2 linked regions of the Xenopus tropicalis genome follow. The protein of the gene in region 1 interacts with the protein of each later gene in a pairwise test. Links are inferred from orthologs where the notes say so. Each region holds a gene or a part of one and is shown on either strand. Other genes may lie near its edges.

Region 1 (16,062 bases):
TTTGCACTTTGCACCTTGCCTTACATGCTAAATGACATGCAACAGGTGTAAGCGTAGCGGATGGTGTAAGGCATTGCTTATTTACAAGTAGTGGACCAGTTTTATCTCATAAAGCATGTTAGAGGGCCAGGTTCAATTAAAATAATGATGTCATATAGTGAAATATATGGAACAGACTAAGTGCCATAAAAATCCCTTGAAGGGTCACATCAGGCCTTCATTTGGAAAACCATGCCCTAAGGCTAGTGCCATAAATGGGTGATTCTTGCAAATAATCAGAAGGCCCCTAAGCTCCTTAAAAGCTTCTTTACGTATGTTTTTCTGCAGGCTAAGAATGCCCACATGTGGCACTAGCCTAACATGCAAGTAAGAGTACAGCTGTGGGTAAAGTCTGCAACAAGGTCCTGTATTTAAAGCCTATTGGAGGCCACAAGGACAGGCCTGTTCTGCATCCGCAGCCATTGTGCTCTGCATCATTTTTAATCCTGCACAAGGTGCAGAACAGAAAACTGCCCATGCTGCAAGTCAGACATAACTAAGCACTAAGGGGAATGTTTTACCGTTCCTTAGCGCTCTTTCATAATTCTTGCCAAACCATCTGCTTTGTGGTTGATTCTTTCACCCCCTCCCTCCTGCTCTTCTATACCTTTGTCTTTAGTGTTATGCAGGACAGACTAAAATATACTCATCTTCCTTTAGATATTTTGTCATCCCCAAACACCTGCTCTAAACTTCAGCAACCTACACCAAACAGAGACACAGCAGCATCCAGTCCAACAGAGATCCAGCACCATACCTCAGCAACCACAGCACATTATGCTGAGCCTTCCAACTCAAGGGCAGATTATCTCTAAACTGATTCCAGGCCAGCATGTGGTTTCATCTCAGCAAGTGCTCAGGGATTCCACTGTACTGTCAAGTAAGGTAAAGCATAATTTATTTTAAGAACTTTGACAATTTTATTTCTTACTAACACCAAAAAGGCAGATATATAAATATATATATATATATATGTATAGTATATATTTTCTATAGTACAGGAATACCTGCAGTTGAAGCTCAAAACCAGCTTCCACCACTCTTTCTGCAAATGATGCAGTGCAGGTATAGGATCTATTACCTGCAACTTGGACCACCATTCTTAATGGCTACTAAAAAAACATTTAAACATCAAATAAAACAAATAGGATTGTTTTACCCCCAACATGGATTTATGAGCTTATTTACTCATTCCTCTGTATTACTACAGAGGAAGGGGAAATCAGTTAGGATAATGTCCCACAGGGAGATTTAGTAGCTGCGATTTTTAAAAAGCGAGTTCCAGAGACAAGTCGCTCGTTTTTTCTCTACATAGAGAAAGCATTGTCATTCATAACCAAAACTATTCGAATCAACTCGTTTTTTAAAAATCACAGCGACTAAATCTCCCCATGGGACATTAGCCTTAAAAAATAGGATTTGCTTAAATATGACTATATGGAAAATGCAATTAAACTATAGTTCCAGCACTGTAGAGTCTATGTTGTGGCCACTGGCACTAAAAGGGTTAACAGCACAAAAGTTGCAAATCCAAACTATTCTGTTCATAATAGTATACAATTATCAATTATATGTATTTCTTAAAGGGAATCACTCATGATTTCCTTATATAATTCTAAGCATTTTGGCTTCAAAAGTGATACGTAAATGTAACTGCTGTTGAGAGCATTTGCTTGTTTCCCTCTGCAGTTCCCTTTCTTTCTATTGAAACAGTGTAGCAGAATCCAGCAATTCCATTTACAAATACAGGAACAAAACCTGTTATACAGAATTCTTGGAACCTGGTATTTTCTACATAAGGAATCTTTCTGTAATTTGGATTTCCATACCTTAAGTCTATTAAAAACTGTAAATCACTTATTTTTGTATAAAGAATGGCAAAATATTTGTATTGACAAGCAGAATATTCTGCTGACAAGCAGACAGGCAATTTCTTTATGCAAGAAAAAATGTGTTCAAGCTGCATCAGCAGTTTCAGCTCATAACATTACTAGTGGGACCTTGCTCTGGATATACAGAAGGCTTTCTCAATGAACAGTAATAGGGATTTCTGCAACCTAACAATATCTTGAAGGCTAACTATTATTGTCTTACAGCAGCAAAAGTGAAGTGTACAAAATATTACATTGTGTAATGTATACCAACTCTGTACAGTGTTGGGGATGGCATGCTAATACTACAGAGCTTTAGATTTCCCACAGGCTTAATGTGAGGTTGTAAACTAATTGGACAATGTATCATAGTGTGCAAGCGCCTGCTATGGATTAACAGTACAGAGTATTTGTTCTAGGGACAGAAATCAATAAGAAGTCTGCATGAAATATCAGACAGCGCCCAGCCATCTACCAGAAATGCTACCTCTCAGCTCAATGATCCCTCCTCCAAAGTGACACAAAGTCTGGACGTAGTACCATCTTCTGATTCACAGCAGGAAAGCATTCAGCGTTCTACTGCACCAGACTTCAGCCATGACAGGCAGCTAAGGTCAGCTTCTTATTACTGTCTACAGTGTACATACATGGTGCCTGTGAACTCTGCATCTGTTTGCCAGGTTTACAAATAGGGACGCTTTTTAACTAACGTAATTGTCTCTGGGGAGGGTGCATCAAGGGGGGACAATGGAGGGCAGTGGATGGGGCTTTGGTTTGTGGGGAGGATTTAGTTCTCTTTTAAACAACCCTTCCCTTTTTAAAAATGCCCCTGATATATTCTATTTATCTATTATTATCTCTAAATAACAAATTATTTTGCCAAAAACTGAGGGTGTGCAATAAGACAAAATAATGTATGTATAATGTACCCTACCTTGACCCAAAATTTAATTTATCAGCTAGTGACAATAGAACATGGGTCACACTGGACTGCAGATAGGCCTTTGCTAAGTGAAGAAGGACATGAGAGGATCTCTGGTGCAGTATCAAAGCAAACAGGACGAGGTTCTTCCAAATGAACAGGCTTATTGTGAAAAGTTTTCACAAGGCAGAGCTGAATAATATGACACCACTGTGGATATGCATGGTACTATAGGTTTAAGATACACCTTTAGGTTACCAGCTAGTGGTCTGGATCCTGTCAACTGGAATTGTTCAGGAAGTGATACACTAAAGCCTGAATCTTTTCAGCAGTTTGATCCCCTCACTTTAGGACCTATGGGAGAGCTACCTCTAGCTATCAGTTCTAATGTGGAGCACAAAGCTCCTTTTCTGACCTTTTCTAGAAAAATTGTCCATCTATGGCAGAACTTTTTACTGGGCCTTATTGACCCCAGGCCCCCCAGCATACATTCACCTAGGTCAGAACATGGAAGCCAAAGAGGGAAAACCACCCCTTTCCAATAACTGTATCAAAGTGTGTGGCAGGAAGTGGTTACTAACCTATTGGCCAATAACAAAGATATGAAAATAAGATAGATAAATACAAAGGCTTCTGCCTAGCAACTAGGGAAATATCATTTGTAGGAAATTTACATCCATGGGGACAGTTAACCCTATGGGCCCCTACAATAACACACTTGTTTTGCAACTGATTTCATTTACTATTTAGTCTACAACAACACAACAAAATTGTGACACGTTTAAGGGTCCTTAGCAATGCTGTTTGTTCTGAAGACAGGAGAAGCATCTGTAAATGTATCTGTATTTCTTTTGCTGTCTGTAAAATATAAGGCAATATTATGGGGCACATTTACTAACCCACGAACGGGCCGAATGCGTCCGATTGCGTTTTTTTCGTAATGATCGGTAATTTTGCGATTTTTTCGTATTTTTTGCGATTTTTTCGGCGTCTTTACGATTTTTGCGTAAAAACGCGAGTTTTTCGTAGCCATTACGAAAGTTGCGCAAAGTCGCGATTTTTTCGTAGCGTTAAAACTTGCGCGAAACGTCGCGCCTTTTAAGTTTTAACGCTACGAAAAAGGCGCGACTTTGCGCGCAAGTGTTAACGCTACGCTTTTTTTCGTATTTTTTGCGATTTTTCCGGCGTCTTTACGATTTTTGCGTAAAAACGCGAGTTTTTCGTAGCCATTACGAAAGTTGCGCAAAGTCGCGATTTTTTCGTAGCGTTAAAACTTGCGCGAAACGTCGCGCCTTTTAAGTTTTAACGCTACGAAAAACTCGCGTTTTTACGCAAAAATCGTAAAGACGCCAAAAAAATCGCAAAAAATACGAAAAAGTCGCAAAATGTTCGTTTCCAATCAGAATTTTTCCAATTCGGATTCGAAATCGTGTCTTAGTAAATCAGCCCCTATGTGTATATACTGATGGTAAAGGATAGATGAATGATGGAATTAGCAAATTTTCTAATAATGTTATATGTGTGAACAACAGCTACAACAAATCTACTCTCTGTGTACCCTACAGTGTAATAAGTGTAAATGTTTTTTATAGGCTGTTGCTGAATCAACCAATCCAGCCAATGATGCCAGTCTCATGTAACAAAAGGCAGACCTTAGATACTGGATGTCAGTCAAAGTACGTACTACATCTGCAGTAAACAGTGGTTTGTCCTGCTTGATAAGCGTTAAATCTTTTAGATGAATATAAGGTAAAACATAAAACATACCTATATCATTGTATATAAAAGAAATTAGTAACCCATTCTGATAGCAGAGGTTAGCAATACCAGAAAGAATATTGATGTTATAAAGACATATACCATAACTAAAAACCTCTCCAGTCTTGTAGGCGATAATAAATAACATAAGATGCTGATTTTACTTTGTGGCAAAAATTAATATTATCTTTAAAAAGACCACTTAATTGGAGCTCCCTGGTCAGAAGCACAGCAGGAGGGGGTTGCCAATCACAGGCTTGCAGTTACACAAGCAAAGGCAGGATTCAGTTCCCTATCAGGTCAGTCCAGCTGCTGATTGGTTCCTGTTCTACAGTGTGCTGAGTGCCACGGGCTCTCCTGCACAGCCTGGGAAAGGAGGCAGCAGGAAGATGGCAGGGGAGAGTAAGGTTTTGGTTTTTCAATAATCAACCCGATACACTACTTTTCTGAGTGAATTTCTTTTATATTTAGAGGAGTATAATGCAATGGCACATTCTTAATTTTCGCACAAAGCCCAAATGACTCATGGGATTTTTTTTATAGTACAGGTATCGGACCCCTTATCCGGAAACCCGTTATCCAGAAAGCTCCGAATTACGGAATGCCCGTCTCCCATAGACTCCATTTTAATCAAATAATTCAGAATTTTAAAACTGATTTCCTTTTTCTATGTAGAAACATGGGCGTCCGCAGAAAATTTTCCAAGGGGGGGCAAGTAAGCTAGTATCATCCTGCAACAGACAAATATATATATATATATATATATATATAAATATATATATTTTTTTTGCAGGATGATACTAGGGGAGGCTAAAGATGGCCCATACACAGACTGACCTACAGCTAATGTGACACTTAGTGGATTCGCTGCTGGCGTAAAAAGTTAACCTCCCAACTACCTCTTGCCGTTCCCACTGACTCCCAGGGATACTGTACAAAAGTGCGGGGGGGGCTTTTTTGTTTTTACCCTAAAATGTTTAGTATGTTAAAGTATTTATATGCGCATTTCTGTGAGGGGATCTGCAAACATTTGTGTTTGTGATCAGGGCTAGTTCGCATTCAAATTCACTTTTATTTTTAATGGTTTTTCAGTTATTTAGCTTTTTGTTCAGCAGCTCTCCATTTGGTATTTCAGCAGCTATCTGGTTGCTAGGGTCTTATTTACCCTAGCAACCAGGTAGTGGTTTAAACAAGAGATGGGAATATGAATAGTTAAGGGGCCTACTTGGAAAAATAAGTAATACAAAATTATAATAATAATAAAATTGTAGCCTCACAGAGCAATATTTTTGGCCCCCATTTGAAATCTGTATAGAGGCAGAACAGAGGCCTGTGTATAGTACCTGGGTATAGTACCTGTGTATAGTGCCTGTGTATAGTACCTGGGTATAGTACCTGGGTATAGTACCTGTGTATAGTGCCTGTGTATAGTACCTGGGTATAGTACCTGTTTATAGTGCCTGTGTATAGTACCTGCGTATAGTGCCTGGGTATAGTGCCTGCGTATAGTACCTGCGTATAGTACCTGCGTATAGTGCCTGGGTATAGTGCCTGCGTATAGTGCCTGCGTATAGTGCCTGCGTATAGTGCCTGGGTATAGTGCCTGCGTATAGTGCCTGCGTATAGTGCCTGGGTATAGTGCCTGGGTATAGTGCCTGGGTATAGTGCCTGCGTATAGTGCCTGGGTATAGTGCCTGGGTATAGTACCTGGGTATAGTACCTGGGTATAGTGCCTGGGTATAGTGCCTGGGTATAGTACCTGAGTATAGTGCCTGGGTATAGTACCTGTGTATAGTGCCTGTGTATAGTACCTGTGTATAGTACCTGGGTATAGTACCTGTGTATAGTGCCTGTGTATAGTACCTGTGTATAGTACCTGTGTATAGTGCCTGTGTATAGTACCTGTGTATAGTGCCTGTGGGATGAAATCTGCAGCAAAAGTTGAGAGTTGGTTCTCAGGTAAAGTTACAGCTGCAGATTCTTCTTTTCAGTCTTCATTTGTTTCCAGTTTGCAAAATCTCCCGATCCCTGTGTGCATCTGTGCTCTGATTGGTCAATTTTACTGTCTGTCAAGGAAGCTGTGCTCTGATTGGAGAATCCACAAGAAGAAAGATCCAATCGGAGCACAGCAAAAACGGGCTTGAGGAGACAGTGCAGAAAGTAAGGTTTTTTTTGCTACTTTTCCAGGGGGGGGCAAGTGCCCCCTCTTGCCCCCTTCTGTGGACGCCCATGTGTAGAAATAAAACAGAACCTTGTAATTGATTCCAACTAAGATATAATTAATCCTTATTGGATGCAAAACAATCCTATTGGGTTTAATTAATGTTTTATTGATTTTTTAGTAGACTTAAGGTATTGAGATCCAAATTACGGAAAGACCCCTTATCCGGAATACCCTTGGTCCCGAGCATTCTGGATAATGGGTCCTATACCTGTAGTAGCTTTACAGTGGTATTGGGAGACACTTTTGTTAGCCAATGTAATATATGGCATGTGCGCCAGTTCTAATTACATATAGCAACCAATTAGCAAGTAGTGTTTACCAATCACTTGCTTGAAAGCAAATGTACTAAAGCTGTTGCTAAGTTGCAAATGTTACTAAGCCTGTTGCTAAGTTTGTAATGCTCCTTACATTGGCCTCTACGTATGCTCTGATACCTGATGGTACAGGTATAGGACCCATTATCCAGAATGCTCGGGACCAAGGGTATTCCGGATAAGGGGTCTTTCTGTAATTTGGATCTCCATACCTTAAGTCTACTAAAAAATTAATAAAAAGTTAATTAAACCCAATAGGACTGTTTTGCATCCAATAAGGATTATTTATATCTTAGTTGGGATCAATTACAAGGTATTGTTTTATTTTTACATAGAAAAAGGAAATCAGTTCTAAAATTCTGAATTATTTGATTAAAATGGAGTCTATGGGAGACGGGCTTTCCGTAATTCGGAGCTTTCTGGATAACGGGTTTCCGGATAAGGGGTCCGATACCTGTATCACCAAAATGCAAACCAGGCTTAACAGCTTAACCAGTGAAACAGCAGGATATTAGTCAAAGATTGCTTAACAGCCAACAACCAAAAATATTTTTAGCTAAAATAAAACACTGTATATATACTCCATACTGGAGACAAAACAATCCTGTTAGGTTAAATTAGTGTTTAAATTATTTTTTAAAAGACTTAAGGTATGGATATCCAAATTACAGAAAGACCCCTATATCTGGAAAACACAAGCAGGTCTCAAGCATTCTGGATAGCAGGTCCCATACCTGTACCAATCTTAATCTTGCTCCTTCAGTACGCCTGCCACACTGTATCCTTATTCTTTAAAAACAAATGTAGGTTTATTTTGATATAACACTACAGGACTTGCTTGCCTTGCTCTGGGATTTTTATGGTCTAAGTAACATAATTTCAAAACTGAGATTGGCTACTTCACACCATTACTTACAAGTATGTTATATTTAATTTTTATATGCTCAGTGTTGAAAACATTAATGAACAGAACATTTTTTTTGTGGAGAATGAATATAATTGCATTTGCTCACTAGACTGAAAATACATCTAATCCACACATATCAGCCCAACAGCAACCTGGCTGTCAACTGAACCATGCACTTTATGCAATAATCTAGACCAGATTATAGGATTAAAGTGTTGTAGTGTTATATCAAAATATACTTAGTTATGTACCAATGTCTAACAGAACCCAGATTATAGGTACATGCTGTAGGATATAGGATTGCATACAAAAGTGTGTGTCTGTGGCGAGGGGGGGGTTGGGATATTGACTACATTCAGTGCATTTTTCAGATGCATTATCAGATAGGGTCACAACCACACATTGGGTAAAACTGTTAATCTCTTAATTTAATTGTATTCCAGCAGTTGCAACTCTTAGGCACTTGTGACATTGATTCTTATATAATTTGGACAAAAAGAGAGTGTTTTTTCCTTTTCTTTTTTTGAATAGGTATTTGCAAAATTCACAAATACTTAGAAATGTAGAGGTGCAGACTTCTGGCACTAGTGCGCCTATTGTCATAATGGGGCAAGCAATCTTACATCCAGTTGTTTCTACAACTCATCCCTCCCAGCAGCAAAATCTACAGACTATGCATCTACAACAGCAGCAGCAATATGTACAGGTAAAACACTGTTATGTAGACACATTTCTAAAAATAAAAAACACCCTAGGCCCTTCTGCTTTGTTCAGACAATTAATCCATCTTCTAGTGCTGACTCCAGCAATATTGTACTGTAATTCCCTATGCTCATATATCTAGCAGAATTTCACGGTAATTGTTATACATATCCTATAGACCTACTCCCAGTCCCCAGAAGTGCTTAAAATGAATAAATCCAATTGACAACTAGCTAAAGACACTCCGTAAATTAGATCTGTGAATAAGTGACTAAGAAACAACCAGAACTAAAACCAAAAAAATAATATAGGGAGGGATTGCCGTGGTAGGGAAGACTCTACCTCATTTCTATTGGGAAGTCCACATAGCACAATGCAAAACTTTGTCCAAAAGTCCTTAGAATTATGTTTTCTTTTATTAGGCAAAAAATTATTTTTGCAGTTGACATGTCCCTAAGAAGTCTCTGTAAGAGTTAATACAGCTGCTCCATAAGTGAATATAAAAATGCATATCTGTTATTGATCCACTATGTCTGAGAGACTTGGTACCACATTGCACACACATTTTACCTGACTCCAACCTCAATGCTAGAAAGTTCCTAAGAATGAATACTTTATGTAAAAAATTAACTCTGCTTCATAAAAACCGTCTATATCCTTATTTATTACTCCATTCTCTTTGTTGTATCCATTAGAGCCCAAGTTCTTTTCAAAACCAACAGCCAGATTCTTTGGGCTTGCCCACCTATGCTCAGCAGCAAGACACGATTGGATTTCACCAACAGCAACAACTAACACTAACAAGGACTAAAAGCCTTTCTGAGAAATCAGGTGTACTTTAGAATGCTTGCTTTGTTAATTCTTTACTGCACTAGCCCAACGCATATCTACCGGAACCTGGATTGCCTTACATTTTGGACCTTGCTGTTTAGTAGAATACGTGGGAAAGCAGTTGATAAATATGCAGCCAAGATCATGAAGCTAACAAAGAATTTTGTGTTGCTTGTAATTACAATTTATGGATTTATATTGACTCATACAAACTGATCTTTAAAGTCATAATTCTGCTTTCAAACAACCCTTTTGTGACAAATTCCAGCACTTTTCAATTTGTCAATTCATTTTTTAATCTTTATTTAATGTAATAAGAAACCTTGGAAAGGAGACCTTACAAATATCATAGAAAGCATATGTATATCTAGTAAGTTGCTACTCCTTAACATTTTCTTTTCCATGTTAATGACCTAACATATATAAGCATTGAATATAATGACGCAAAACAGAAACATTATAAACAGAAGCAGATTAACTCTATCAAAGGACAGAAGTAAAGCTGTTACTCATCCACCCCTGCTCTGCCCCCACTAAACACCACTGTGCCCCCTGAAAACCATGTGCCCAGGGTTGCTTTTCACATACAATATTTTTGCTAGTGAATTAGTTATTATTATTTCCTTTCTTGATCTTCAGATTCAATTTTTTCCCTGAGCAATAGGCCTGTATATATTCTTTTTATCACTACACTATTGGAATATTGATAGGAAACCCAACGCATTACACAGACTAAGATAATATGCTGGATGCCTTTCAAAATGAGCCTTAAGATTCATTTTACTGATAAAACAAAGGTATTTTTGAAATATCTATGACATATAAATATCTCATGAATAGTTAGGGAAAAAAGAAATGTCATGCTAATTGAAATATTCAAACTGATTTTTTTTAAACTTACTCTTAGGTTTTTAGTTCCTTCTTTGAGGCAAGTGAAATAAAGGGCTGCTTGTGTTTATGAAAGAAAAGAATACTTTATAGTAGGCTGAGCTCACATGCATCTAAACCTACATGTTAAGTTGATGATGGTTCATTAAAGTGGCATCAAACCTTCTTATTTTTTTTTTTTTACCAACTAGCCCCCTCTATTGCATTTGCCCCTTCCCAACTTTATCAACCCGACAAACTGACAGCCAAGTTCAGAGCTGCACAATGAGTTTAGCAGGCTGCCATTTTTGACAGCTTAATTTTCTGGTCCACACTTCACTGTGGGGAACATTTACACTAGAAGCCAGGGCAAGGTCATCTTCCAGAATGCATTCTTCTGCTTAGTGATCATCGTTGTGAAGCCTTGGGACTGATGTGGCCAAACATGAGAGAATGACCATGGACTGGAAGATGAAGTGGGCAGGGACAAAATAGGTAAAAGCATTCTAATAACATTCTAATAACAATATATATCTAGTGATCAAAAATAAAAAATTATTGCAGAACTTTGTATAAAGGACTTACGAAAAAAGCTTTAGCTCCTAGTTGCTCTGTGCTGCAACCAAATACAACTGCAAAAATCCAAAAAGTAGGAGAAAAAGCTAGATATATCTAGTGATCTAGCTGCATATCTTATTACAACAACCTTAGATAAAGATGTTAAACAAAAAGGCAAATAATTGAAGAATTATCAAAACAGAAACCAAATGCAAATTGCCTTTTAATGTCAACAACATACTAAATGTTAACTATAAACTCAAACTTTTCCTTGCAAATGAATATACTACAGGTTAATTTGCAGGGTGATGCAAGTTATACATTCTCCAAAAGATTCATTGTAACAAGTGCACTTTTTGAATTCTATTTTTTATATGATTTGTTGACATTTCTGTAACAAAATGATATATGTAACCAGAGTACAGTATTGTACAGTTATTGTAATGATGACTTATTTCTATAAAAAAATAAAACCAAAAATTTACATTTCTTATTTGTTGCGTAATATTATTTATATTTTTCTTATTTGTAACTGTTTAAATTAAATTAATTCATATACTGTATTTAGAGGGCACAGATAAGCATAAAATACAAGTTGTGTTTTTTCCTGCAGTTTAGTAAGGCCAGCCTTAGGGTTAATATTGAATACCTTTACCAGCACCTCTTCTACAGTGTAAATTGTTATTCTGCATTTAGTTTACTAATTATTCATGCTTCAGTGGATTCCCTTGATTTCTTTCATGCTCACTTTGTGAAAAGCAGACACAATTGCACTGTGTAGTGAGCATAGGGCTTTTATTGGATGTTGCCTGCAGTCTTTGCAGCCATACACTGTGGTGTTTTAATGGCATAATATGTCAATTAAATCGTTAAGCTTCTTCCAAAACCCAAGACCAATAAAATGTGCAAGATAGTTCATTTAATTGAGAAGAATACAGTAGTGCTGCATATGGCGATGAGGTAACCTAACCAGGATCCCCCTTCATCAATAGGCGCAGTATTGCTTAATTTGTAAGAGAAGGCAAGAAGGACTGAAAGGAGCTGAACGCAAATATATAGGGAAGTGCATGGAGCACATTTTGACATATGTACCTTTAATAAAAAGTGGTTTTACGCTCAACTGACTGTGGGAACCAAAACTGCACTTGTGGATATACATGAGCCCTGTTGTTTATGTGGTGTGGCCCTAATATAATTTTACAAAACTAAATTTAGAATTTCATACAGCAACAACTCTTTAAATAGGTATATAATTACCAAGCTAGATATAACAGGTGGCACTGATCCGAAGACACTCAATATCAAATACTTTCCAGTTTTTTTTAAACCAAGAAAAAGACACACAGCAGAACAGAAAGCAGAACACTCCTACGAAGCTTTCATTGGGATGCCATAATGGCTGACACTTGCACATGATGGATGTGTCTTTTTTCAACCCCAGCAAGTTTGTTGCTATGTAGCTCTCTATACATTTCTGTTAATGCCATGAGTGTGCATTGTAAAATATATTCCACTTCTTTTTAACAACCAACAACATGCAGCAAGAAATCAGCACACTCTAAAGCACTTGTCATTATGATGCCATAATGGCTGACACTTGCCCCAGAAAACTTTGCAATAAAGGCATTTTAATCTACAAAGACAAGAGGTGCTGTTCCTGTTCTTCTGTACCATAATGGCTGACACTGTCACACCTCAATACACAAAATGAAGTGTATGTAACACTTAATGAGTGGGCTTCACATGCAAATGATGTTTATTTATGGCCGGACATTACCATGCAGTTGGCTGGCACTTCCAACGATGAACTATAGGTTCCCATTAACCTCAACCAAATCCCTATCTAGTACAGGATTGCTTTGGGCTCCTACACCACATACACTGGCCTTCTTGCTAGGGGCACAGCTACAATTGCTAGCTTTAAGTGGCAGTTTCCAGGGAAAGGCTGTTGGAGGTGGATTGTGAGGGGTGGCAACAAATGTGAATGTGTTTGTTATTGCTAATGGAGTAATACTTATGTGCACTTAAAAGGGCCTGTCACCACCATATAAGAAGCCACATAACGAGAGGAGCAGCTGAAGGAGTGTGTATGGGGGGGGCACTGTGTATGGGGGTATTGTCTCAATTGGGGGCACTTACTATGGGGGCGTTGTGTATGGGGGTACTTTCTATGGGGGCACTGTGTATGGGGGGTACTTTCTATGGGGGCACTGTGTATGGGGGGTACTGTCTATGGGGGCAATTGGGGGCACTTTCTTTGGGGGGGTACTGTCTATTGGGGCACTTTCTATGGGGGGTACTGTCTATGGGGGCAATTTCTATGGGGGGCACTGTGTATGGGGGGTACTGTCTATTGGACCACTGGGGGCACTGTGTATGGGGGTGCAAAACTGGTACAGTTATAACTCACTTATAACTGACTGCCTTCTCTCTATATTTGTGTTTTATATGTAGGAGTTGCTATATTGTTTTCCTTAGGTAGTACAGTATGAGGGTATGGCACAATTTGCATCTGATCTCACCATTTCAACTATATAAAGGAGTATTTTTTGGAAAAAAAAGGATGGGGTGTGGTAATTTGCGTGGCCATAAAAGTGGGCGTGGTCAAAAAATTGCAGCACTGCACACGCCAAATCTTTTTGTCCCTCTTTTCATTGTTCAAATGTTGGGAGGTATGCTTACAGTCTGAGCCGAAGGTGTGTACCTTGTAAAGATTAAAATGTGTGAACACTATAGGGGATTACATGTTTAAACAATACAGGGGAATTACAGCCTGAATCTGAGGTGTAAACCATGCAGGGGGGGCAGTTTACACAAAGGGAAGCCATCAAAGCAGCCAGACAGGTGGGGGGGGGCACACACTGGGGTGTCGTGGGCCACATGCAGCCCTCCAGTTGGACAGCACTACCTTAAACCAAAAACCAGATGACATATTTATCATGGGTTATATAATGAAGACGACTTATTAAAAACTCCCCATAATGGAAAACAAAATTCTAGTTCCAAACTATTAATAAATGAATCGCCTGACACATCAGCATTGATATACTGTGGCATTATAAAACGCATACACTTAAGATACATAAACTGTACGTTATGCAGAAAAGCCTCATTACAGTGCCTAGCACTTGCTTTCTGCGCTTCTGTTTCCTTATAGCTTTTCTCGCTAAACACAGTTACGGACGCTAAATCTATAGCAAGCTGCTTGTAACTATAGCAACCCCTTTTCCGCATACGATTCTCAGAACGTAGCGGACGTCATTACGTCGACCCGGAAACGCATTCACGGGGTTGGAGTTTACTTCACTCCCACAATCCTTTTCTACTTCCTTTCCGACATAGTCCCTGGTTGAGTGAGTACGGGCGAATGTAACTGCTCTAATTCTATCTGTAACCATCCTCGCTCTGTCTCCATCGGATACCTTCGGTTGTTCCCGGGCTTGTCTGTGAGACTCGGGGCGACAACTTAATGTCATTATCTGGAGCTAAATAGGAAATAAGATGCGTTTTGTGTATTATCTTACCCGGGAGATTAAGGCCGCGTTCCAGATGTTAGCGACATTAGGATCTATGGCATTAATGCAGATATATCAGCTAAGCCCATACCATTACAGTACTAATGAATCACTGCGGGCATTTCTGGGCCTTTATTTCATATCGCAATTGAGAGGGGGGGGGGGGTAGGTTTTCAGTAATCGCATCACCCTAGCGACGTGGGGATGGTGGACGTCTCTGTTAGAGACATTTAGTTTTTAAGAATGTGATTTGTACTATGTATGTTGCCGGCTATAGAAATCATGACATAAGCCGAATGTATTCTTCATATGAGTATTGCAGCAGTAGCCACTCGGTAGTACTGTAACTGTGTCGGCTTCCTTGTCACTGAGTGGCCGGAAAGTGTGGCTGAGGCTTGAATTGAATAAAACTCACCACGGTATCCCCATAAATCCAGTACAATCTCTGCCCTTTCCAACATTTTGCCATGTTTTCCTGCGTTTAGAATGCAGAACCTACATAAAGGTTTCATCTTTGTCACACGTCTGTTGTTTTTCTCTTTCCAAAGAAATGGCACCAGCAAAGAAGGGTGGTGAGAAGAAAAAGGGCCGCTCTGCCATCAATGAGGTGGTCACTAGAGAATACACCATCAATATTCACAAAAGGATCCATGGAATGTGAGTGTCCTTGATTTTCTATAAAAAGTTTGCTTGGATGTACTGGCTCACCGCGCTGGTCTTTAACATTAACAGTAGTGGATTTTCACGGAATAAAACTATTTAAGGGTTTTTTTCACTTGTGCCCCATATAGTTAGGGTTTTTGTCAGCTTAAAGTGATACTGACACTAAACCCGGCCATACACACAGCCATATAATTGTGCAAAACCTAGTTTCGTATGATATTCGGTACGTGTATGGCGGCTCGAAGAGGCGATCGATATCAGTCCATTGGCCAGGTTGAAAGGTTTTGATTGGGAACCATTGAAGGCACCCAAGCAAAATCTACATTCAGGGCAGAATCGCCAGGTCAAGGTAGAGATTATATTGTTTTTATCAACATATCTGACGATTCAGCGCTGAACGTCTGTGGAGGATGAGAACGATCTTTTGTGTGACCAATGGTTGCACGAAAGATCAGAATTGCTGTGTGTGTTTCACCTTAAAAATAATGCACATTAAAAGTTACCTATAGGTCATGATGATCATTTTTTGCAGATAGGGCTGCTTTTGTGAGTAATTGTTACTTGAAGTTCCTAAATCTGACTGTCCCTTCTCAGCCTGTCAGTTATAGCTTCTAATGCTAACAGACTCCTGCTACACAAATATGGCAGCCTCCTCATACAGGAACATGGGGATCTGATAGGGAATGTAAAAGCATCAGGCAAATACTTTTAAGGCACAATTATAAATAGCATGTCTCTTTAAAAGATCAGTTTTTGCATCTATAGTTCATTCAAGCTATTAAAGATTGTTTGTCTTGTATAGGTTTTATAGTTTATGTAGAATTCCTACAACATGAAATATTTATATAAGCAGTTACTGTTTATTTACTACTTAGCTTATCTTTCTGCTTA
Region 2 (16,062 bases), on another chromosome or scaffold:
ATCACCCATAATATATATATATATACAGCCCCTAACTGTGTGCGTTTCTGGGGGGGGGGGGAATTGGGCCCATTCGGCCATACTTACTTTTGGCATCGATCAGTTTCTCCCGGGGGGCGATGTCGGAGGAGGAAAGCTGCTCTTTCACTTTGGCAACATCTTTGGGGTGCAGGAAATCAAACAAGCTTTTCCCCATGAGGTCCCCCTGGAAAGAGAAGAGCGGCATTCTGGGAAAATGCAGAGGTGCTTAATCTCTCCCGGCAGTGAGAGGGTTAAAGTAACCTATCACATGAGTGGCATGGGGGGGGGGCAGATAATGTTTCCAAGAAAGAGAAGGAAAGTAGGGCAGGCTTTATGCATTTCTGGGTTACTGTGACCCCCCCCCCGGGGCTGCAAGGCCCACTCCCCACTATACAAAGTGCCGGCGGGGGGGGCCCACCTGATTGTACTTCAGCGTCTTTGTCACAGACTCCGACACAAATAGGATTTCTCCTCGGTCGCAGCCAATCACAAACAGGAATCCGTCTGCAGCCTGAAATGCAAAGGACACAAGGGTAAGATGGGGGGGCAGGAAGGGGCATGGGGGTATCCCCCCCCCGGGAAACATGGATATGAAGGGGTAGCAGGGCAAGATGGAGACTACAAGACATGAAAGTAACACTGGGGCAATGGGGGGGGGGTAGATAGTAGAACATGATGAAAAGGGCCAAGTGGGGTAAGTGGAGAGTGATAGGGCAAGATGGGGACAGTAGGGCAAGGGGACAGGGCAAGATGGGGACAGTAGGGCAAGATGGGGACAGTAGGGCAAGATGGGGACAGTAGGGCAAGATGGGGACAGTAGGGCAAGATGGGACAGTAGGGCAAGATGGAGACAGTAGGGCAAGATGGGGACAGTAGGGCAAGATGGGGACAGTAGGGCAAGATGGGGACAGTAGGGCAAGATGGGACAGTAGGGCAAGATGGGACAGTAGGGCAAGATGGGGACAGTAGGGCAAGATGGGGACAGTTAGGGCAAGATGGGGACAGTAGGGCAAGATGGAGACAGTAGGGCAAGATGGAGACAGTAGGGCAAGATGGGGACAGTAGGGCAAGATGGGGACAGTAGGGCAAAGATGGGGGCAGTAGGCAAGATGGGGACAGTAGGGCAAGATGGGGACAGTAGGGCAAGATGGGGACAGTAGGGCAAGATGGGGACAGTAGGGCAAGATGGGGACAGTTAGGGCAAGATGGGGGACAGTTAGGCAAGATGGGGACAGTAGGGCAGATGGAGACAGTAGGGCAAGATGGAGACAGTAGGGCAAGATGGAGACAGTAGGGCAAGATGGAGACAGTAGGGCAAGATGGAGACAGTAGGGCAAGATGGAGACAGTAGGGCAAGATGGGGACAGTAGGGCAAGATGGAGACAGTTAGGGCAAGATGGAGGACAGTAGGGCAAGATGGAGACAGTAGGGCAAGATGGAGACAGTAGGGCAAGATGGAGACAGTAGGGCAAGATGGAGGACAGTAGGGCAAGATGGGGACAGTAGGGATAGACGGGGACAGTAGGGACAAGATGGAGACAGTAGGGCAAGATGGAGACAGTTAGGGCAAGATGGAGAACAGTAGGGGCAAGATGGGTAGGGGATGGGGGGGACAGTAGGGCAAGATGGGGACAGTAGGGCCAAGATGGGGGACAGATAGGGCAAGATGGGGACAGTAGGGCAAGATGGGGACAGTAGGGCAAGATGGGGACAGTAGGGCCAAGATGGGGGACAGTAGGGCAAGATGTTGACAGTAGGGCAAGATGGAGACAGTAGGGCAAGATGGAGACAGTAGGGCAAGATGGAGACAGTAGGGCAAGATGGAGACAGTAGGGCAAGATGGGACAGTAGGGCAAGATGGGGACAGCTAGGGCAAGATGGGGACAGTAGGGCAAGATGGAGACAGTAGGGCAAGATGGAGACAGTAGGACAAGATGGAGACAGAAGGGCAAGATGGAGGACAGTAGGGCAAGATGGGGACAGTAGGGCAAGATCGGGACAGAGGCAAGATGGCGACAGTTAGGGCAAGATGGGGACAGTAGGGCAAGATGGGAGGACTACCAAGACATGAAAAGTAACACTGGGCAACTGGGGGGGCAAGATGGAGACAGAGGGCAAGGGCAAGAAGATGGAAGACAGTGGGCAAGATGGAGGACAGTAGGGGCAAGAGGAGACGTAGGGCAAGATGGAGGACAGTAGGGCAAGATGGAGACAGTAGGCAGTTGGAGACAGTAGGGCAAGATGGGGAAGGGCACAGTATTAGGCAGATGGAGACAGTTGGACAAGATGGAGACAGAAGGGCAAGATGGAGACAGTAGGGCAAGATGGAGAACAGTAGGGCAAAGACAGTTAGGGCAGATGGGGACAGTAGGGCAAGCATGGGGAAGTAGGCAAATGGGGACAGTAGGGCAAAGATGGAGACAGTAGGGCAAGATGGAGACAGTAGGGGCAAGATGGAGACAAGATAGGGCAAGATGGAGGACAGTTAGGGCAAGATGGACAGAGGGCAAGATGGGGAACAGTAGGGCAAGATGGGCGACAGATAGGGCAAGATGGGACAGTAGGCAAGATGGGGACAGTAGCGAAGATGGACAGTAGGGCAAATGGGGACAAGGTAGGCAAGATGGAGACAGAAGGGCAAGATGGAGCCATAGGGCAAGAGGAACAGGTAGGACAAGATGAGACAGAAGGGCAGATGGAGACAGTAGGCAAGATGGAGACAGTAGGGGCAAGATGGGGACAGTAGGGCCCAAGATGGAGGGACAGTAGGGCAAGTGGAGACTACAAGACATGAAAGTAAAACACTGGGGCAATGGGTGGGGGGTGATAGTAGAACATGATGAAAAGGGCCAAGTGGGGTAAGTGGACAGTGATAGGGCAAGATGGGGACAGTAGGGCAAGATGGGGACAGTAGGGCAAGATGGGGACAGTAGGGCAAGATGGGGTCAGTAGGGCAAGATGGGGACAGTAGGGCAAAGATGGGGACAGGTAGGCAAGATGGAGACAGTAGGGCAAGATGGAGACAGAAGGGCAAGATGGAGACAGAAGGGCAAGATGGAGACAGTAGGGCAAGATGGAGACAGTAGGGCAAGATGGAGACAGTAGGGCAAGATGGAGACAGTAGGGCAAGATGGAGACAGTAGGGCAAGATGGAGACAGTAGGGCAAGATGGGGACAGTAGGGCAAGATGGAGACAGTAGGGCAAGATGGAGACAGTAGGGCAAGATGGGGACAGTAGGGCAAGATGGGGACAGTAGGGCAAGATGGAGACAGAAGGGCAAGATGGAGACAGAAGGGCAAGATGGGGACAGGAGGAACCCACAGAGGGGGAGTGGACCCCACAGACTCACCCTCAGGATTAACTGTTTCATCTCTTCGTGCTTCAGAAAGGAAGGCTTTGGGCTCTCGTCGGCGAATGAGGGGTTGGACCCTGGGAAGGGAAGGGACACGGGGAACAAGTAAAGCCTATCTAGCAATGTGTCCAGATTCCCTTTCTGCCAGGAAATGACATCCTCGGGGGCGGGGCTGACCGCACTGGGTGACACCCTGGGCCGGACTTACCTTTTAGCGACTTGAGGTGTTGGACGGCCATGCGCAGCACGGTGAGCTTGTCCGGTTTGCTGGGTAACGGGCCGCTCTGGGGGATCATGGCCGACAGGTTTTCAATCAAGTTGTTCATTTTCTCTCTGCGCCTCTTTTCTGTCTCTCTGTGCGCCTCCCTGCAAGGGCAAGTAACCCCTCCATTTCCTACTGTGTGCAACAGTTTGTGGGGGGGGGGAGTCCATTTCTGCTTCACTGCCTCTGGGTACTGGGAATGCCGGGGGGGCTGTAAGGTGCCACAGGACAGTGTATGTTATTGGGCTGGGGGGCTGTTTGTGCTCTGGGTACTGGGAATGCCGTAAGTGCCCACAGACAGTCACTATTTATTTGGGCTGGGGGGCTGTTTTGTGTCTGGGTACTGGGAATGCCTGGGCCACAGGACAGGGGCTGTAATGCCGGGGGGGCTGTAAGGTGCCACAGACATCACTATTTATTGGGCTGTGGGGGCTGTTTGTGCCTCTGCGTACTGGGAATGCCGGGGGGCTGTAAGTGCCACAGGGTCTGGGCTGGGGGGGGGGCTGTTTGTGCTCTGGGTACTGGGGAATGCCAGGGGGCTGTAAGGTGCCTCACTATTTATTGGGCTGGCTGTTTGTGCCTTCTGGGTACTGGGAAATGCCGGGGGGGCTGAAGTGCACAGACAGTCACTATTTAGTTGGGCGGGGGGGCGTTTGCTGCCTCGCGGTACTGGAATAGCCAGGGGCTGTAAGGTGCCACAGACAGTCACTATTTTTGGGCTGGGGGGGCTGTTTGTGCCTACTGGGTACTGGGATGCCAGGGGCGGCTGTAAGGTGCCACCAGACAGTCACTATTTATTGCTGGGGGGGCTGTTTGTGCCTCTGGGGTAACTGGGAATGCCAGGGGGGCTGTAAGGTGCCCACAGACAGTCACTTATATTTATTGGGGCTGGGGGGGTGGCTGTTTGTGCCTCTGGGTACTGGAATGCCGGGGGGGCCTGTAAGTGCCACAGACAGTCACTATTTATTGGGCTGGGGGCTGTTTGGCCTCTGGGTACTGGGAAAAGCCAGGGGGGCGTAAGGTGCCACAGCAGTCACTATTATTGGGCTGGGGGGGGCTGTTTGTGCTCTGGTACTGGAAGGCCGGGGGGCTGTAAGTGCCACAGACAGTCACTATTTATGCTGGGGGGCTGTTTTGTTGCCTCTGGGTACTGGGAATTGCCGGGGGGCTGTAAGGTGCCACAGACAGTCACTATTTATTCGGCTGGGGGGGCTGTTTGTGCCTCTGGGTACTGGAAATGCCAGGGGGGCTGTAAGGTGCACAGACAGTCACTATTATTGGCTGGGGGGGGCTGTTTGTGCCTCTGGGTACTGGAATGCGGGGGGGCTGTAAGGTGCCACAGACAGTCACTATTTATTGGGCTGGGGGGCTGTTTGTTGCCTCTGGGTACTGGAATGCCGGGGGGCTGTAAGGTGCCACAGACAGTCACTATTTATTGGGCTGGGGGGGCTGTTTGTGCCTCTGGGTACTGGGAATGCCGGGGGGGCTGTAAGGTGCCACAGACAGTCACTATTTATTGGGCTGGGGGGGCTGTTTGTGCCTCTGGGTACTGGGAATGCCGGGGGGGCTGTAAGGTGCCACAGACCAGTCACTATTTATTGGGCTGGGGGGGCTGTTTGTGCCTCTGGGTACTGGGAATGCCGGGGGGGCTGTAAGGTGCCACTGACAGTCACTATTTATTGGGCTGGGGGGGCGGTTTGTGTCTCTGGGGTACTGGGAATGCCAGGGGGGCTGTAAGGTGCCACAGACAGTCCTATTTATTGGGCTGGGGGGGGCTGTTTGTGCCTCTGGGTACTGGGAATGCCAGGGGGCTGTAAAGGTGCCACAGACCAGTCACTATTTATTGGGCTGGGGGGGGCTGTTTGTGCCTCTGGGTACTGGGAATGCCGGGGGGGGCTGTAAGTGCCACAGACAGTCACTATTTATTGGGCTGGGGGGGCTGTTTGTGCCTCTGGGGGTACTGGAATGCAGGGGGCTGTAAGGTGCCACAGACAGTCACTATTTATTGGGCTGGGGGGCTGTTTGTGCCTCTGGGTACTGGGAATGCCAGGGGGCTGTATGGTGCCACAGACAGTCACTATTTATTGGCTGGGGGGGCTGTTTGTGCCTCTGGGTACTGGGAATGCCAGGGGGCTGTAAGGTGCCACAGACAGTCACTATTTATTGGGCTGGGGGGGGCTGTTTGTGCCTCTGGGTACTGGGAATGCCAGGGGGGCTGTAAGGTGCCACAGACAGTCACTATTTATTGGGCTGGGGGGCTGTTGTGCCTCTGGGTACTGGAATGCCAGGGGGCTGTAAGGTGCCACAGACAGTCACTATTTATTGGGCTGGGGGGCTGTTTGTGCCTCTGGGTACTGGAATGCCGGGGGGGCTGTAAGGTGCCACAGACAGTCACTATTTATTGGGCTGGGGGGCTGTTTGTGCCTCTGGGTACTGGGAATGCCGGGGGGGCTGTAAGGTGCCACAGACAGTCTATTTATTGGGCTGGGGGGCTGGTTGTGCCTCTGGGTACTGGGAATGCCGGGGGGGCTGTAAGGTGCCACAGACAGTCACTATTTATTGGGCTGGGGGGGCTGTTTGTGCCTCTGGGTACTGGGAATGCCGGCGGGGCTGTAAGGTGCCACTGACAGTCACTATTTATTGGGCTGGGGGGGGCTGTTTGTGTCTCTGGGTACTGGGAATGCCAGGGGGGGCTGTAAGGTGCCACAGACAGTCACTATTTAATTGGCTGGGGGGGGCTGTTTGTGCCTCTGGGTACTGGAATGCCAGGGGGCTGTAAGGTGCCACAGACAGTCACTATTTATTGGGCTGGGGGGGCTGTTTGTGCCTCTGGGTACTGGGAATGCCCAGGGGGCTGTAAGGTGGCCACAGACAGTCACTATTTATTGGGCTGGGGGGGGCTGTTTGTGCCTCTGGGTACTGGGAATGCCAGGGGGCTGTAAGGTGCCACAGACAGTCACTATTTATTGGGCTGGGGGGGCTGTTTGTGGCCTCGGGTACTGGGAATGCCAGGGGCTGTAAGGTGCCACAGACAGTCACTATTTATTGGGCTGGGGGGGCTGTTTGTGCCTCTGGGTACTGGGAATGCCAGGGGGGCTGTAAGGTGCCACAGGACAGTCACTATTTATTGGGCTGGGGGGCTGTTTGTGCCTCTGGGTACTGGGAATGCCAGGGGGGCTGTAAGGTGCCACAGACAGTCACTATTTATTGGGCTGGGGGGGGCTGTTTGTGCCTCTGGGTACTGGGAATGCCGGGGGGGCTGTAAGGTGCCACAGACAGTCACTATTTATTGGGCTGGGGGGGGCTGTTTGTGCCTCTGGGTACTGGGAATGCCAGGGGGCTGTAAGGTGCCACAGACAGTCACTATTTATTGGGCTGGGGGGGCTGTTTGTGCCTCTGGGTACTGGGAATGCCGGGGGGGGCTGTAAGGTGCCACAGACAGTCACTGTTTATTGGGCTGGGGGGGCTGTTTGTGCCTCTGGGTACTGGGAATGCCGGGGGGGCTGTAAGGTGCCACAGACAGTCACTATTTATTGGGCTGGGGGGGGGGGCTGTTTGTGCCTCTGGGTACTGGGAATGCCAGGGGGGGGCTGTAAGGTGCCACAGACAGTCACTATTTATTGGGCTGGGGGGGGCTGTTTGTGCCTCTGGGTACTGGGAATGCCGGGGGGGCTGTAAGGTGCCACAGACAGTCACTATTTATTGGGCTGGGGGGGGGCTGTTTGTGCCTCTGGGTACTGGGAATGCCAGGGGGGCTGTAAGGTGCCACAGACAGTCACTATTTATTGGGCTGGGGGGGGCTGTTTGTGCCTCTGGGTACTGGGAATGCCAGGGGGGGCACACAGAGCACCCTATTGGTACCCGCTGGCCTGTCCAACTTACCTTCCCTGAGTGTCATTCACGTCTGATCCTTCAGTGACTCTGTGAGCAGGAAAATAAAATGTAAATACGGGTGACCAAATGCAGGGGGGACATTTTTTCCTCATTGGGGCCCCGTTATTCTCATCTACTTTGGCCCTCGGCCCAGGTGACCAATGGGTTAGTAGGTCCCAGGGCTACCCCCAGTAATCACGGCCCTCCCCTCAGGGGATTCCCATTATTAGTGCACTGTTACCTGGGGCCCCTGGGTGGTAAAATGGGGCCCCAATGAAAAATAAAGTGCCCCTCCCATACATGGCCACACACCTGACCCACCCTGACCCCTCCCTATTTAAGCCAAACTCCTCCCAAGGTCCAATCCCTAATTATGCCAAATCCCACCCACAAAATGCCCCTCCCATATATGGCCACTCACCTGACCCACCTTGGCCCCTCCCTATTTATGCCAAAGTCCACCCAAGGTCAACTCCCTAATTATGCCAAATCCCACCCACAAAATGCCCCTCCCATACATGGCCACACACCTGACCCACCCTGGCCCCTCCCTATTTATGCCAAACTCCACCCACAAAATGCCACTCCCATACTTGGCCACACACACCTGACCCACCCTGGCCACTCCCTATTTATGCCAAACTCCACCCACAAAATGCCACTCCCATACATGGCCACACACCTGACCCACCTTGGCCCCTCCCTATTTATGCCAAACTCAACCCAAGGTCAACTCCCTAATTATGCCTAACCCCACCCACAAAATGCCCCTCCCATACATGGCCACACACCTGACCCACCATGGCCACTCCCTATTTATGCCAAACTCCACCCACAAAATGCCCCTCCCATACATGGCCACACACCTGACCCACCATGGCCCCTCCCTATTTATGCCAAACTCCACCCAAGGTCAACTCCCTAATTATTCCAAATCCCACCCACAATCTGCCTAAGCCCTGCCCACTCATTGCATAGCCTGTGTATGTCACTCTCCCATGATTACAGTACCCCCAGTAGTGGGGGGCGGGGCTAACAAACTGGAAAGGCTTGGGGTGACTTACTGGTTGTCGGAATCGCTGGCTTTCCGCTTCCTGGGAAACTCCAAGGCGCTGGGCCCCAAGGAGCTGGAGGTGACGAGGGTCGGCGCGGGTTTGGGGCCCAGGATGGAAGAGACGGCCAGGCACTCCTTGGGCTCCATCATTAGGGTATCTGTGGGGGCAACAAGCACTGGTCAGGCAGGGCAATACCAACCTGGCTAATGGGGGTCAGCAACCCCCCCCCCCCCCCATCCCAACTATTCAAGGGGAACTTAACCTCTACATTTGTCATTTGCAACAATAAAATTGATTTTTCTTGATTTTGCCTGTTTCTGGTTTTACCCTCAGTTCTTCTGCCCAAACCCGCAGGACGGGGTTAATAAAGGGGCGGAGCCAACATGCAAGCGAGCCAGTAGAGCAACAAGGGAGCCGGTGTTTCCCGCGCGGCAGGGAGAGGCGCCAGGATCCGTGTTTGGCACAAACAGACTTTTCATTAACTCAGGTATTTCTCATTCATCCTGTGTAACTGCCCCGGGGGCAAATCATCTACTTCCTTGTTTATCCCAACGCAGCCGCCTATGACTCACTGTGGCGCTGAGCCCCAGTCACATGGTCCTACAGCCTGTTACACCTAGCATAGGCCTCTCAGCCAGCAGTGCTGTAATGTATATAAGCCCCCCCCCCCAGGGGAAGCACAGACACATGGGTACCGGGAAATACACTCCCCCGTGCACAGGAAGCAGAGACAGTCACATGGGTACCGGGAAATACACTCCCCCGTGCACAGGAAGCAGAGACAGTCACACGGGTACCAGGAAATACACTCCCCCATGCAAAGGAAGCAGAGACAGTCACACGGGTACCAGGAAATACACTCCCCCGTGCAAAGGAAGCAGAGACAGTCACACGGGTACCGGGAAATACACTCCCCCGTGCAAAGGAAGCAGAGACAGTCACACGGGTACCAGGAAATACACTCCCCCATGCAAAGGAAGCAGAGACAGTCACACGGGTACCAGGAAATACACTCCCCCGTGCAAAGGAAGCAGAGACAGTCACACGGGTACCAGGAAATACACTCCCCCATGCAAAGGAAGCAGAGACAGTCACACGGGTACCAGGAAATACACTCCCCCGTGCACAGGAAGCAGAGACAGTCACACGGGTACCAGGAAATACACTCCCCCATGCAAAGGAAGCAGAGACAGTCACACGGGTACCAGGAAATACAGTAACTATACCACAAAGGGTTAATGCAGTGATTAAGCTGGGGGGCTGCCCAAAGCATGGAGGTCAGGGGAGGGATCAGCGCTAATCAGCTTTGCCTGGGCCTCCTGCTTACACGACCCCCCACCCCCATATCTCTCTATTGATTCTCAGCAGCAATCTGGGCTAGTTCTGTAGGGGGGCAAAATGTACTGTATATACCCTGCAGTGGTAAAATCAGCCTATTTGCCCCCCCCCCCACCAATTACCTCCTGAGAGAGCTGCAGAGGCCACAGCACCCCTCCCCCAGTCTGCCCCCCCCCCCCCCAGTGGTATCGCCAGGCCCCTCGGGGGGGGGGGGGTGATGGGCCAAGGTGCCAAATTCAGGCCCAAATCACTATGTTGTGCAAGCTGTGTCCCCCTGTGACCTGCGCATGATGCAGGGAGGCAAGTCTTAACCCCCAGGCAGAGACGCTCAGGATTCCTCCCTGCTGCTGCTGCAGATTAAGCCGCGCACAGAAGGGAACCGGCCCACTAACCTAAATACTTATAAATACCCCGGCAGACAGTCGGCCCGGCTAAACCCCTCCATATAAAGTAACTGGAGCAGGATTAAGGGGGGGCGCGCAGAGATAAAATTGTCACTGCGACTCCCGCTGAGCTGTTTAAAGTCAGAAATCAATTTATCTGGCGGATCGGTCACAACAAAGGGAACACGGGGCCTTGGATTTAAATACAACTCGCTCAGGAGCCCCCAGGCCTTCCCTATTTATATTTAGGTCTCTGAGCGGCTCCCTCCGTGGACACTGCTCGCTGGTTGCTAGGGTCTCTGGCCCTAGAAACAGGTCACGTGGGTGTACTATCTACATAGGCTGGCAAGGGGGTTTGCCTAGGACAAAGCCAGGCATTCTATCTACACAGATTCTATCTATAACGTAATAACAATTAGGGATGTAACAAACAGGATTTGGTTCCGGATTCAGCCTGATCCCCGAAGGATTTGGATCCAGAACCCTTATACAGTGCCAAACTGTGGGGCTGGCCCAGTGCCCTGGCTACGGAGCCCCAACCTTGTTATGGCTAAGGGGGCCCAGCCTGAAGGCCAGTTAGGGGGGATTTGGGGTGAGTGCTTATTTGTGCCCTGGGTACCCCTGGAACTATAGCGGGGTGACTGTTACCCCAATGTTTCTATATATCTGTAACCTTGTTATGGGCTAAGGGGGCCCAGCCTGAAGGCCAGTTAGGGGGGGATTTGGGGGAGTGCTTATTTGTGCCCTGCGGTACCCCTGGAACTATAGCGGGGTGACTGTTACCCCAATGTTTCTATATATCTGTAACCTTGTTATGGGCTAAGGGGGCCCAGCCTGAAGGCCAGTTAGGGGGGATTTGGGGTGAGTGCTTATTTGTGCCCTGGGTACCCCTGGAACTATAGCGGGGTGACTGTTACCCCAATGTTTCTATATATCTGTAACCCTGTTATGGGCTAAGGGGGCCCAGCCTGAAGGCCAGTTAGGGGGGGATTTGGGGTGAGTGCTTATTTGTGCCCTGGGTACCCCTGGAACTATAGCGGGGTGACTGTTACCCCAATGTTTCTATATATCTGTAACCTTGTTATGGGCTAAGGGGGCCCAGCCTGAAGGCCAGTTAGGGGGGGATTTGGGGTGAGTACTTATTTGTGCCCTGGGTACCCCTGGAACTATAGCGGGGTGACTGTTACCCCAATGTTTCTATATATCTGTAACCTTGTTATGGCTAAGGGGGCCCAGCCTGAAGGCCAGTTAGGGGGGATTTGGGGTGAGTACTTATTTGTGCCCTGGGTACCCCTGGAACTATAGTGGGGTGACTGTTACCCCCAATGTTTCTATATATCTGTAACCTTGTTATGGGCTAAGGGGGGCCCAGCCTGAAGGCCAGTTAGGGGGGGATTTGGGGTGAGTGCTTATTTGTGCCCTGGGTACCCCTGGAACTATAGCGGGGTGACTGTTACCCCAATGTTTCTATATATCTGTAACCTTGTTATGGGCTAAGGGGGCCCAGCCTGAAGGCCAGTTAGGGGGGATTTGGGGTGAGTGCTTATTTGTGCCCTGGGTACCCCTGGAACTATAGCGGGGTGACTGTTACCCCAATGTTTCTATATATCTGTAACCTTGTTATGGGCTAAGGGGGCCCAGCCTGAAGGCCAGTTAGGGGGGGATTTGGGGTGAGTGCTTATTTGTGCCCTGGGTACCCCTGGAACTATAGCAGGGTAACTGTTACCCCAATGTTTCTATATATCTGTAACCTTGTTATGGGCTAAGGGGGCCCAGCCTGAAGGCCAGTTAGGGGGGGATTTGGGGTGAGTGCTTGTGCCCTGGGTACCCCTGGAAACTATAGCGGGGTGACTGTTACCCCAATGTTTCTATATATCTGTAACCTTGTTATGGGCTAAGGGGGCCCAGCCTGAAGGCCAGTTAGGGGGGGATTTGGGGTGAGTGCTTATTTGTGCCCTGGGTACCCCTGGAACTATAGCGGGGTGACTGTTACCCCAATGTTTTCTATATATCTGTAACCTTGTTATGGGCTAAGGGGGCCCAGCCTGAAGGCCAGTTAGGGGGGGATTTGGGGTGAGTGCTTGTGCCCTGGGTACCCCTGGAACTATAGCGGGGTGACTGTTACCCCAATGTTTCTATATATCTGTAACCTTGTTATGGGCTAAGGGGGCCCAGCCTGAAGGCCAGTTAGGGGGGGATTTGGGGTGAGTGCTTATTTGTGCCCTGGGTACCCCTGGAACTATAGCGGGGTGACTGTTACCCCAATGTTTCTATATATCTGTAACCTTGTTATGGGCTAAGGGGGCCCAGCCTCTTTAATAATGACATATAAGCGTCAGCTCTTCGCTCTCCCGCACTCAATGAGTCACGCCTATTGCATTTCTAGCCTAACAAGCCCTATCTAGCAGTCCGGGCAGACTCACTTAAAGTCATATCGCTCCCTGACATCACGTGACTTGCCCCGAGCAGGACGCAGTTGCCCCCACTCTCCGCCATAGAGTTTCCCATACACTAAGCTGCCAGAAAGTGAGCCTGGCCAGGCCGGCAGATAGGTGGAACAGTACAGACATGGCTGATGCCGATCAGGGAAAGGGTTAATCTAGCTGGGGCAGAAGCAGGGATCTCTGGGAAGGGAAACAATGCCAACCAGCGAGCTCGTGAGAGTCACGCCCTGACCTACTTTCCGTGGCAATGACTAAGGCAGAGGCGGGGCTATATGGGCACGCAATATGGGCATAATGGCACGGCCGCGCAAAAAATGGGTCACGTGGCTCTTTCCGGTGTCCGAGGGAAGTCTTTAAAGTGTTACTATGTTATAGAATAGCCCATTCTAAGCAACTTTTCAATTGGTCTTCATAATTTATTTTTTATGGTTTTTGAATTATTTGCCGTCTTCTTCTGTATCTTCAAATGGGGGTCGCTGACCCCGGCAGCCAAACCCTTTTGCTCTGTGAGGCTCCAGTTTTATTGTTATTGTTACTTTTTATTCCTTATCTTTCTATTCAGCCCCTCCCCTGTTCATATTCCTGTCTCTCATTCAAACCACTGCCTGGTTGCTAGGTTAAATTGAGCCCTGGCAACCACACAGCTGCTGAAATTTCCAACCTGGAGTGCCGCTGTGCAAAAAGCTAAAAAATTCAAAAACCGCAAATAATAAAATGTGAAGACCAATTTTATCCCGGGGGTCAATAACTTTGGGGGCTGCCCCTTTCCCACTGAGCCCTGGTTTGAGGGGCCCCAGACTAGGCGGTTATTAATAATAATAATAATAATAATAATAATAAGAGTATAGGGCGGGCAGTAGATCCAGTTACAGAAGGGACTGCCTGTACTCGGCCCATTCATTTCCCATAAACGTGAGGCTCAGTGGCGGCTCCTGTTCCTGCCGCGCCCAATGGCGTTCCTCTTACTCACAGGGTTTATTTTAGATTCGCTAAGGAGTAAGTTACATGTCATCACCCCCGGGAGCAGCCAGCAAGGATATTATTGCAGCATGTGTGTGTGTATAGTAAGGCTGTGACTGAATGTCACAGTGACTGTCTCTGCTTCCTGTGCACGGGGGAGTGTATTTCCTGGTACCCGTGTGACTGTCTCTGTTTCCTTTGCACGGGGGAGTGTATTTCCTGGTACCCGTGTGACTGTCTCTGCTTCCTTTGCACGGGGGAGTGTATTTCCCGGTACCCATGTGACTGTCTCTGCTTCCTTTGCACGGGGGAGTGTATTTCCTGGTACCCGTGTGACTGTCTCTGCTTCCTTTGCACGGGGGAGTGTATTTCCCGGTACCCATGTGACTGTCTCTGCTTCCTTTGCACGGGGGAGTGTATTTTCCTGGTACCCGTGTGTGACTGTCTCTGCTTCCTTTGCACGGGGGGAGTGTATTTCCTGGTACCCGTGTGACTGTCTCTGCTTCCTTTGCACGGGGGGAGTGTATTTCCCGGTACCCGTGTGGCTGTCTCTGCTTCCTTTGCACGGGGGAGTGTATTTGCCGGTACCCATGTGACTGTCTCTGCTTCCTTTGCACGGGGGAGTGTATTTCCCGGTACCCATGTGACTGTCTCTGCTTCCTTTGCACGGGGGAGTGTATTTCCCGGTACCCATGTGACTGTCTCTGCTTCCTTTGCACGGGGGAGTGTATAACGACATACTAAATCTTGTGTAAATGGAGTTGAGAGAAAGTGGCGGTGAGGGAGTTCACATGATGCTGTACCCCACCCCAATGAAAATAAAGAAAGGATAATGAAATCCCCCCGTGAAACAAAGCTGCCTGCAGGAAGACCAACTGCAAGTCTGGACATCATCAGACTCAGCACAAAATAAAGACTCCCAAATGTGGACTTAGCAATGGCAGCCCAACAGGCTCAGGAGCGCCACCCTCAGTATAGGGAAGGTACTGGCCCTGGCACCCAGTCTGTAGGGTTATTGTTGCCAAAACAGATGAAGCTGTTGGAAAAAACAAATCTATCTGGGAAGTTGTATCAGGAGTCAGAACCAGCAGTGCAGAGAAGGGAAAGGGACAGACACAGTGACAGTTACACATAACTATAAACCCAGTGAGAATGAGGGATGAATGGGTATTGGGGAGTTGTATCAGGAGTCAGAACCAGCAGTGCAGGGAAGGGAAAGGGACAGACACAGTGACAGTTACACATAACTATAAACCCAGTGAGAATGAGGGATGAATGGATATTGGGGAGTTGTATCAGGAGTCAGAACCAGCAGTGCAGGGAAGGGAAAGGGACAGACACAGTGACAGTTACACATAACTATAAACCCAGTGAGAATGAGGAATGAATGGATATTGGGGAGTTGTATCAGGAGTCAGAACCAGCAGTGCAGGGAAGGGAAAGGGACAGACACAGTGACAGTTACACATAACTATAAACCCAGTGAGAATGAGGGATGAATGGATATTGGGGAGTTGTATCAGGAGTCAGAACCAGCAGTGCAGGGAAGGGAAAGGGACAGACACAGTGACAGTTACACATAACTATAAACCCAGTGAGAATGAGGAATGAATGGGTATTGGGGAGTTGTATCAGGAGTCAGAACCAGCAGTGCAGGGAAGGGAAAGGGACAGACACAGTGACAGTTACACATAACTATAAACCCAGTGAGAATGAGGGATGAATGGATATTGGGGAGTTGTATCAGGAGTGAGAACCAGCAGTGCAGGGAAGGGAAAGGGACAGACACAGTGACAGTTACACATAACTATAAACCCAGTGAGAATGAGGGATGAATGGGTATTGGGGAGTTGTATCAGGAGTCAGAACCAGCAGTGCAGGGAAGGGAAAGGGACAGACACAGTGACAGTTACACATAACTATAAACCCAGTGAGAATGAGGGATGAATGGGTATTGGGGAGTTGTATCAGGAGTCAGAACCAGCAGTTCAGGGAAGGGAAAGGGACAGACACAGTGACAGTTACACATAACTATAAACCCAGTGAGAATGAGGGATGAATGGATATTGGGGAGTTGTATCAGGAGTCAGAACCAGCAGTGCAGGGAAGGGAAAGGGACAGACACAGTGACAGTTACACATAACTATAAACCCAGTGAGAATGAGGAATGAATGGATATTGGGGAGTTGTATCAGGAGTCAGAACCAGCAGTGCAGGGAAGGGAAAGGGACAGACACAGTGACAGTTACACATAACTATAAACCCAGTGAGAATGAGGAATGAATGGATATTGGGGAGTTGTATCAGGAGTCAGAACCAGCAGTGCAGGGAAGGGAAAGGGACAGACACAGTGACAGTTACACATAACTATAA

Evidence for each region.
Region 2: the proteins of npas2 (region 1) and arntl2 interact in binary tests that used the Homo sapiens proteins (3 or more experiments, as listed by UniProt). The link is inferred for Xenopus tropicalis from reciprocal best matches to the Homo sapiens genes NPAS2 and BMAL2.

Annotation. Positions count from the first base shown.
Region 1 is NC_030678.2:110,290,123-110,306,184, forward strand, and holds the end of npas2 (neuronal PAS domain-containing protein 2), read left to right. Parts: intron 1-699; coding exon 700-924; intron 925-2,329; coding exon 2,330-2,523; intron 2,524-4,424; coding exon 4,425-4,508; intron 4,509-8,566; coding exon 8,567-8,741; intron 8,742-9,432; coding exon 9,433-9,579; 3' UTR 9,580-11,482; downstream 11,483-16,062. Other genes in the region: rpl31 (60S ribosomal protein L31), read left to right, coding at 15,059-15,165. UniProt on the Homo sapiens protein: Transcriptional activator which forms a core component of the circadian clock.
Region 2 is NC_030679.2:2,981,526-2,997,587, forward strand, and holds part of arntl2 (aryl hydrocarbon receptor nuclear translocator-like protein 2), read right to left. Parts: intron 8,722-16,062; coding exon 8,574-8,721; intron 7,558-8,573; coding exon 7,519-7,557; intron 3,741-7,518; coding exon 3,583-3,740; intron 3,452-3,582; coding exon 3,372-3,451; intron 533-3,371; coding exon 440-532; intron 206-439; coding exon 88-205; intron 1-87. UniProt on the Homo sapiens protein: Transcriptional activator which forms a core component of the circadian clock.